Linked DNA regions of Arabidopsis thaliana. The protein of the gene in region 1 interacts with the protein of each later gene in a pairwise test. Each region holds a gene or a part of one and is shown in the gene's direction. Other genes may lie near its edges.

Region 1 (3,957 bases):
CCCAAATCAGAATAAGAAGAAAAAAATCTAGGAAGCCTCTTCAAGACATCACCAACCTCTTTGTCTCGTCATCACCATTGTCCTCTTCGTTTCTGATCCGTCACATTCCCTCTTCTTCATCTCTATCACTTGATCCCAAATGCATGAAGAGAAGATCTTGTGTTTCCCTCAAGCCTGCTACTTCTTCAACCTTCTCTTGTAGAAATTTCAGATGATTTTTATATTTTGGAAAATGTTGTTTCCATTTTCGAATTTTGTATCCCTTTTAATTTTATTTTAATTATGGGTATATATCAATACCTTGCCATTAGCATTCATATACCACACAAGATTTATTTCTATGAGTATACTGGTTTCTCAATAGTTCTGATTCTTGCCGATTATTTGTTCAACGTTGGTATCATTATTATATCTCTGATTTCAACGAATGGGTCTGAATATTATATACAGTTTTTAACTATAAATTTGAGATGAAAATAAAGTTAGTGATTGCAATGACAATCCAGCTACAGAAATTGTCTTTAGGATCAAGGCCTGTCCAATAATAGTGATGGTCCGAATTGAAAATATAAAATTTGGACCATTTTATCTTTCTTTCAGATAATATTAACTCTAAACACACACAAAACCCTCTTGATTATTTTCGACAACTCCTAATAACTTAAAAAAAAATAAAAAAAAATCAAGTTTATCCTTTTAACAAGTGATAGTCAAATAACAAGTTTATCTAGAAATGGGATTTATATCGAAAGTCATACTGATGCAAAACAGAGAAGACCGCAATAAAGAGAGTGGCATTTGACACATAGAGGATAAGAGCATTTTCTTCAATCTCCAGAACAATTAATTCTTTCCCAAACTTATGGTATCTGATCTCATATAATTGTTCACAGAAATAAAAAAAACACTGAATATCACTTTTTATATAAAAAAAAGTATATTCCTTTTATATGTCACCACTAAAATGCACCGTCAAAATAAACGTAACATATATATGTATTCACTGATGTGTTGCATGCATAGTTTTTTGGATAAACAAATTTGCTGACACCATTTACAATGAAATACGGATTTGGATAAGTACTGCTTCATCAGTTAAAACATAATTACAGAGTAAGAAGTGTGATTGGGTCGAAACTTATCCTTTTAAATATATCACTTAACCTCGACTTAGTGGAATCTTAAACTACACTACTATCCACACGTTCTGACAAAAGGTATTACAGATTATAATACCTTTTCTCGATGGTTGAAACTTTTTTGAATATTCTTCTTGTAATGAAATCTCCTGATGAGTCAAATGTGTAAATAGAAAAAGAGTGAAAACCTTCGACTCACCAATACTAAACCAATACAAAACCCATAAGTGCACTCTGCCTTTGACTTCATATTTTCATATTTCCTTTTCTATCTTATTGGACTTTCATGAATCACCCTCCTCGTCCATTATCATTACCTCGTATTATTAACTCTCTCACACGACACACGTATTATAATATTAGTCTATGCGCATACATATACTAATATATAATGTCACTGGATAGGGACGGTCGAGTTATAAATGGTGTAAGGTTTGGTATTGAATAATTTTGCTTTATCGACATTACGACATATATAATTATGTGATTATAATTAGCACTTGAAGCCGTCTCTTATCTCGCTCTTTTTGACGGTCCAATGTAAATACGTATATAAGATTCATATCTTTTTTAGTTTTGATGATGTACTAACGTAAAACGATCGTATATGAATGGATAGAACTTTATCCTTCTTGTTTCGGGGATAAATGGATAGAACAATCCATATTTCAGGGATAAATCTTATTTACTTTTGATCGTGTAAATACTTGTTTCGAGATTAGTTGCTTTTTATTTCGTAATCGTGGTGACCTAACAAATCACCGAGTTTTTTAAATGGATGATTGCATGCATGGCTCAATAAGGGTTTGACAATTACTAACACACGGTGACAAAAGATCTTCTTTCAAAAAAGATTCGATTGGGAACTTTTCTATGTTCAAAATGATATAATCTCAGATAAAATATTCAATTTACTCTATAGATTTACACTGGAAAATGCATAATAATCACTGCAATATATTCACTAAGTTTTTTTTTGGGGGGGGGGGGGGGGATTAGCATAAGATCCATCCAAGAGACAAGGCCACCTAACAAATCAACGACAAATGTTTAAAAATGGAATGCACATGAGTCTAAAAAAGGGCTTGGCCAATCCTAGGCCCTAACACAATTCAGAATATCTATATATTAAGATGTCGATCGTATTAAATATGTGTAGTACACCGTAATGCGGCGATCTTTATCATTCTTTGTACTATTCAAAGTACCAATTTGCATTTTGCAAGTCGCAAGAGTCACTTGCTCAGCTGGTTACAGATTAAATATGATTATTATAGAAGTTTTGGTGATGAAGAAAAATGTAGGCAACGAGAAAAACCGTCCTTGGTGACAACTCATGCTTGCACTCAAGCCTTAAGCTAGCTAAACCTATCTCGCGCACTACTAGAATTCAAATAAAACTCTATAAATAGAAACCCTCATGAGATCTCTTCTTTCCTCATATACACTCATACACACCACGTGAACAATCTATCTCTCTTTCTATTGCTTTTCTATATATACAGAAACTAATTAATTGTATCTGTAATGGCTAAGTTAAGCTTCACTTTCTGCTTCTTGTTGTTTCTTCTGTTATCCTCAATCGCCGCTGGAAGCCGCCCTCTTGAGGGGGCTCGGGTCGGGGTGAAGGTGAGAGGCCTAAGCCCTTCTATCGAGGCTACGAGTCCGACTGTAGAGGATGATCAAGCTGCGGGTAGCCATGGGAAATCTCCAGAGCGGTTAAGCCCAGGAGGACCCGACCCACAACATCACTAGTTATTTTGTGTTTTTCAATTTCTTCGACATGTTTATTACTTATCAATAATTTGGTTGCAACGAAGCTGTTTTTCTTTTTTGTAATAAATTTGCGAATTTACGTTTGTCATAATACTACAAAATTAGTTACAGTTTTATTGATACGTTATCGTACGTTAACTAAATATTCTAAATTTGGTGATTTTACGTTTCAGATTGTATCATTATTATTCACCTTTTACTTTTGATTATTATTTTGAATTTTTACTATACATATAGGCTATAGCAACGCGGTACGTATGACGACGTTGATTTAGATGGTCTTGCATGTACGTACACATGATTCTGTTTTACGATACATCGTGTTTTATATGCCGATTGTGACTTGTATGTTTTAAACAAACAAATATGTATAATTTCGTGTGTCTTCTTAACGGACAAAACAGTAGAATGGAACGTACAATTTAGATGTGGTCGATCTAGATACATGGTCAATTGCATACATATATAAGATTTCGTCCCATAATTACTTGTGTTTTAAATTGATCGTTATCCCGTATGACTTATTCAGTTATTTGGTCGTCGAAACCATGTTACTTCGTTTTTTTTTTTTTTTTTAGGTAAAGCATTGTAAAATATTGATATCTATGAATCGATGCAGTTTACGGTTTACATATTTAATCAAACTGTGTAAACTTGAAATTTTCAAAATTCAACATGTCTATGTTGATTATATGTATGCCTACTTAACTTAAAGCGTTTGCTCCATCGATTTTTATAAGAAAGAGTTGCAAAATAATCTATCAGAAATCTTTAACTAAATATGCTTTTACAGTAAACCAAACACCTAATAGTACTACGATCGTCCCATGGATGAAATGTCATGATGACTCATGAGTGAGAAAGACAGATTCAGATGAAAATCATATGCATATCAAAAGTAAACTAATTAAACAATTGAACATTATACACAAACACATATAATAAGATAACGAAAAAAGCATCGACCTAAAAGTTAAAGAACGTGAAGACCAAAATGGAGGATTATTCGGCTGTAAATGGCATCATATATATAATAAAATCT
Region 2 (5,997 bases), on another chromosome or scaffold:
GTGCGAAGACTTGTACTGCTAACCTGAGCTTCAAGCAGCTGCCCCTTGGAATCAGAAAAAGGGATACTCGGAATTGCCTCAACAGGATAATGTACCTGAATAAATCCATTGTTAAACGTAACAACAGATGTGAGAACAAAATTGACGAGCATCTCCTTGATCTTGAAAGTTATGTTTCTCGTCATCATTCTCAAGACTTCTATAATACATCACTGGTTGAAAAGGTAGGGAACTGTTGATGGATGTAAATATTACCATGAGATAATCATCTGGGTTGTTATCTATCACAAAGCCATACAGGTAAAGAAGCTCCTGCATTCAGCAAGAAGGCACATCACTCAAACAAAGGGCTAGATGTGATTTTTTACCAAGAGACAAGTTATATAGTTGTACAAGATAGCTGCAAAACATCTTACCTCATTTCCTTTGTTACCATAACTGATCGAGATCTCCTTCTTTGGGATAGGACGTTGAGCAACTGCTTTACAGAATTGTAGCACTTAGTTTTCCGCATACAGATCAAAAAGAAGAGAGGAAAAAGAATGTTCTGTATTGTTTGATTGAAAAATTGTAGAAAGCTGAGAGGTAACACAAACAAATATTTGGCCAACCAGAGAGAAGGTACATGGAGAAAGGAACCCTAGATACTGATCCGATCCCATCAACTTCCCAAGTCGCCACAGGCTTCAAATCTATACTGCCATAACCATAGGTCATTATATCACATCACACTGGGATATACTCATTAACCATATCAACATTATGGAACGGAGAAACTGATAATAGAGTCTTTTTGAAACAAAGATTGGCATACCATGGTTGCAAAAGTCAATGCCAGGAACAAGCCCCTCAACCCATATTGTATCTCCGGATCCTACAGATGGCGCAGGTTGAGCCTGAATTTCTACCCATCAGAAAATGAAGAAACCCATGAAATTGTCGTTACATGATAGAATAATAATAATTAAAAAAGAGGCATTTCACACAGAATTCAGCAGACCGACGTTAATGACTTGCCTTTTTCCTCATTAGAATTAACTGGAGCCGTTTCAGGGGACTCACTTGTTGATGTGCATTCCCCGGTATCATCTTGGCTTTGTGGAAACACGAAAGAATGTGGAAGAGGAATATTCAAGGCGCGACTCCAGAATACAGAGTTTGCCCTGGCATAATTGAAAAAAGTCGCAAGATCACTAAGCAGCCCTTTACAAGACACAAAAGTCTGGTTCTACTAACAAGGAATAACACCAGTACCAAACATACCAGAGGAAGTGTTCAAAGGAGACCTTGCTGCACGAAGAGAGAAAACAAAATATGATTATCAATGAACAATAATTTGGTCTAAAAGTAGTGTAAATATGTCAACCTTTCGGAATCGCCATCCAAAATAAGAAGCTTTGTCACCAGGACCTCCACCTTGTCATGGTAAAGCGAGAGCAACTTCTTCTTCTGAGAATGAATACACGATGGTTATTGGGTTTAATAAATGAAAAGAGAAAATGTGGTTGCTATTTTAAGGACGATATGATAAGACAGGAATAAATGATCAAGATTGAGACCTGTAACTCGGTTGCGTGATACAAGTTAGTCCCTTTTAGCTCAAGGATGTCATCATCAGAAAACCAAAGAGGATTGCCAAATCGAGTAGGAAGCATATCAAGATACCTATCATATCATTTCTAGACAGATGAATACCCTTAAGCTTACGTAAATGTGTGCTAAGAGATTAAAAAAAAAACTTACGGCTTCCAAGAAGAATTGATACGAAGACGCTCCAAAGTGAGGAACAGAATCATGAGAAAGCGGTCATCAACTTGTCCTTGTTCGAACATTTTCTGACACTCAGGGCCCAGGAGAGGGTCCTGAAGAACTCTCATAGGGGTAATGGCCAGATCAAGCGGAACAACAAGCAAAACTTCTGAAAATTTCCAGAGCTGAATCAGAATTCAATATCAACTTTCCATACATATTCCCCGGAAAAAAACCCAGCAAGAAATGGTAAGAACAATACTATACCATCGGAAGCTTGAGTGGAGGTGGAAGCGAATATGCCAAATCCTTTTAGGGAGTCAGAATATTTGATGTTGCAGCCTCTTAATTCACCTCCATTCACCTGAATGAAATTAGATCGAAACACAAAATGCCATGATATAGAGCAGCAGATCAGGACTGAAAAACAACACTTAATCCGGATCTAACCTGAAGCCAATCTAGGAACCTTTCGAGTTTGGCTTCTTCTTCTGAAATCGCCATATCCTCCGGCGAAGATCAATATGCCGGCGACGGGTTTAACCGAGTAGAGAGGGGTTTTCAATCGTAACTCACAATACGCTGTCGTAATGGCTTCATCTATGTGGGCTTTTGTATGGGCTTATTTAGCGTTTATGAACTTAAACACACCAAATTTAAATTTTTAACAAAAAAAGAAAAATTGAACAAGTGAAAAACGATAACCAAAAAAATCAAACCAAGACTGCTGTGATATCCCAAAACCGAGAACCAAAATATTGAACCGGGCGGCGTTAAAAGTCTCTCGCCGCAGTTAAACTCTTCCGTACGCCAAATATCTAACAAGGAGCTCTTTAGATTGAGACTAGTGGAAGAGAGACGAGCAAGGAATTAGCAATGGCGGCGGATTTGCCGGAGGCGACAGTACAGAACATTCTGGACCAAGAGTCTCTTAAATGGGTTTTCGTCGGAGGTAAAGGAGGTGTTGGGAAGACGACATGCAGTTCAATTCTCGCAATTTGTCTCGCCAGTGTTCGATCCTCCGTTCTCATCATCTCCACCGATCCTGCTCACAATCTTAGTGATGCCTTTCAGCAACGCTTCACTAAATCTCCCACTTTGGTTCAAGGTTTCTCTAATCTCTTTGCCATGGTAAGCTTTCTCCGATTTTGTTCTAGATCGTGCTAGATTTTAGAGGGAATTTGGTAGTTTCGCTCCTGGATTTTAATCTCATTGGGAATTAGGGTTCTCTGATTCACGAATTTCAAACCGCAGATTGATGGATCAATTTTGATTTTGAAGTCAGATTTAGTACTTGCATAAATACGGTTGATTTGTGCCTTTCTTATCATATGCCCACTCTGATTTTGGGGATTAGGTTTGGAATTTGGACGCCAATTTGTATTCTTGATACGGAAGGGGATTGTGAAGAAGATTTGATGTCCCCAAATCAAATCGAATTTTTGTCTATTGTAGTTAAAATTCATGGCTAGTTATGCCAAATTCAAAAAAAAAAAAAAAAGTTGTTTTTTGTGGTTCTGGGTCGCCTCTAATAGACAGGCTTGATGATGACTTTATGGCTACTCTTCTAAGCTTGAAGCTCTTAGTTGTGTCTGTGTGTATATGTATATATATACACATACTATAAGCAAATGGTTACGATTCACACTCCTTCCCTCTTGATAGTGAGTGAATCTTGTTTGCTTTTCTCAGGAGGTAGATCCTACCGTTGAAACTGATGACATGGCTGGTACAGACGGGATGGATGGTTTATTCTCTGATTTGGCAAATGCGATTCCTGGAATCGATGAGGCTATGAGTTTTGCTGAGATGTTGAAGTAAATAGCCATTTAGTTCTTCTAGTAATCATCTGCCTTTATCCATGTATTATCACAGTCAAATTTTGATATGTTTATGTTTCCTTAGGTTGGTGCAAACAATGGATTATGCTACTATTGTGTTTGACACTGCTCCTACTGGACATACTCTCCGCCTGTTACAGTTTCCGGCCACACTAGAAAAGGGACTTTCGAAGTTGATGTCATTGAAGAGTAGATTTGGTGGCTTGATGACTCAGGCATGTCTTTAAGCTTGTCAAATTCAGTTTGCTTGGCAACAGATATTGCTCTTTGGTTTCTTCTTTGGCTGATTTTTCATGGAACTGATTGGTAATGCAGATGAGCCGTATGTTTGGCATGGAGGATGAGTTCGGAGAGGATGCTTTGCTGGGAAGACTTGAGGGCTTGAAAGATGTGATTGAGCAAGTAAATCGGCAATTCAAAGACCCGGTAACATTTTTTCAATTGTTTAAGTTCTTTGCTATTTTCAGTACTCATTGACTGTTTTCTTAACTCTGTTCGTGAAGTTTAGTTTTAGATTCTTCACATTGTTCTGTAGCATACGGTTTGACAGCATTCATTTGCATTAGTGAAAATTCTGATACATATCTAACAAACTCTGCATTTTAAGATAAGAAATTGACACATTTGGCTCCATTACGTAGGATATGACTACGTTCGTTTGTGTCTGCATCCCCGAGTTCTTGTCTCTCTATGAAACAGAGAGACTTGTTCAGGAACTCGCCAAGTTTGAGATTGACACGCATAACATTATCATCAACCAAGTACTATACGACGACGAAGGTGCCTATTTATTTGCTGTCGTGTCTATCTTCTCGTTTTGAACTTGTTTTACATACAAATTTGACGAATTATCTACACTTGTCTTCTGTAGATGTGGAGTCCAAGTTGCTCAGAGCAAGGATGCGGATGCAACAGAAGTATCTTGATCAGTTTTATATGCTATACGATGACTTTAATATCACAAAGCTTCCTCTGCTTCCGGAAGAGGTAAGAACGCATGACATTCAATATAGATGAGAAGGAACATGATCAAGACGAAAATGAAACTAAAGCCTTATATAATATACATCCTGAGATTTACACTTGTTGTGGATGTTTGGATCACAGGTGACAGGGGTTGAAGCCTTAAAGGCGTTTTCACATAAGTTCTTGACGCCGTACCATCCTACCACTAGCAGGAGCAATGTAGAGGAGCTGGAGAGGAAAGTACACACATTGCGTTTGCAGTTAAAAACAGCTGAAGAAGAACTCGAACGGGTCAAGAGTGGCTAAAGATAAGGCTCTGTTCTTCCCTTTAATTGTAAGTTTCTTTCCTCGCCATATTCTTGGAACTCACTTGCTTTCTACATGGGGGTCTTCTGGATCTGCGTTGTCATTTGGGTTTATTGTTGTTTATGTTTTGAACAATTTATAGGTGGAAAATTAAAACTGAATCTTTTTCTCTCTAGTTCTTCATCTAGCAACAACTCTTTATAGGACAGGAAAGAAGATCAAGCAGAATCTTCTTTTGCGTTGTTTTATTGTTATGCATTGGATTTGTTTTTATATTTGTAATAATCATGACTACATAGACTCATATCTACCAAGAAATCGTTGTTTTACGACTTAATCAGCTTTTTATATATTAAGTTGAAGGGTATCTGTGACAAGCGAATGCTATGATCTCTTGTAACAGCTTTTTATATACTGTAGACTGGTCTTGCAACAGAGAAGGAAAATTCATGTAAAAAAATTATAGTAAATAAGAGATGTTTTGATTTATTGACAAATTCTTACAAGTTTAGGGTAAGCTTTTGTTCAATAAGTTTCTTTGGTATATAATAAATATGAAAATGGCAATCAATAGATGCGAAATTTATTCCCACGTCACGGCGATTGGGCTTCTGACGTTGTATTTGTCACATATCCAAACCAAAACTCCAAAGGAAGACGAAGACGAATTTCTCGAAGCTTCTGCATCATACGTCACCGTATAACTCAACCTCTCTCTGGCCTTCTGGAACTTGAGCACCTTTGGTTCAACTCTCACCTTCACACCTTTTGGTTCCTCAACGTGCACCATATACTCACAAGTCGGTGACCCAACGTTAGTCACAGTCCTCTTATATCTCACCGTTTTCAAATTCGCGCCATTAACGAGGTTGACCGCGAACGAGGGATAGTTCAAATCACCGGGACTCAAAACGACGGCGTTACTAGCACACGTGTAGTTAGTGCCGGAGAACAAGAGTATTCTCTCACTCGTGTAGTTCAAGCTGCACAAGTAGTTGAGATAATCGACGGTGGAGGTATCGTATACCAGCCCGGGATCTACCGCTCGCGTGGGATCCACGTTTCCCGCTCCAAACGCAAACGCTGTGGCCGCCGATTCAGCTCCCGCGGCGCCTCTATCTCCGATCGGTCGGTT

The links.
Region 2: the proteins of CLE2 (region 1) and AT1G01910 interact in a two-hybrid assay, tested with the Arabidopsis thaliana proteins (one large-scale study listed by BioGRID).

The regions. Positions count from the first base shown.
Region 1 is NC_003075.7:10,209,426-10,213,382, forward strand, and holds CLE2 (CLAVATA3/ESR-related 2), read left to right. Parts: upstream 1-2,151; 5' UTR 2,152-2,666; coding exon 2,667-2,894; 3' UTR 2,895-3,027; downstream 3,028-3,957. Other genes in the region: AT4G18501 (uncharacterized protein), read left to right, coding at 1-215.
Region 2 is NC_003070.9:312,460-318,456, reverse strand, and holds AT1G01910 (P-loop containing nucleoside triphosphate hydrolases superfamily protein), read left to right. Parts: upstream 1-2,366; 5' UTR 2,367-2,625; coding exon 2,626-2,880; intron 2,881-3,441; coding exon 3,442-3,566; intron 3,567-3,654; coding exon 3,655-3,805; intron 3,806-3,905; coding exon 3,906-4,016; exon of another isoform or gene 4,017-4,231; coding exon 4,232-4,370; intron 4,371-4,461; coding exon 4,462-4,577; coding exon of another isoform or gene 4,578-4,585; intron 4,586-4,697; coding exon 4,698-4,862; 3' UTR 4,863-5,303; downstream 5,304-5,997. Other genes in the region: AT1G01920 (SET domain-containing protein), read right to left, coding at 24-161, 256-312, 417-478, 612-692, 815-896, 1,001-1,163, 1,264-1,290, 1,367-1,449 and 4 more; SBTI1.1 (subtilase family protein), read right to left, coding at 5,446-5,997. UniProt on the Arabidopsis thaliana protein: ATPase required for the post-translational delivery of tail-anchored (TA) proteins to the endoplasmic reticulum. Recognizes and selectively binds the transmembrane domain of TA proteins in the cytosol.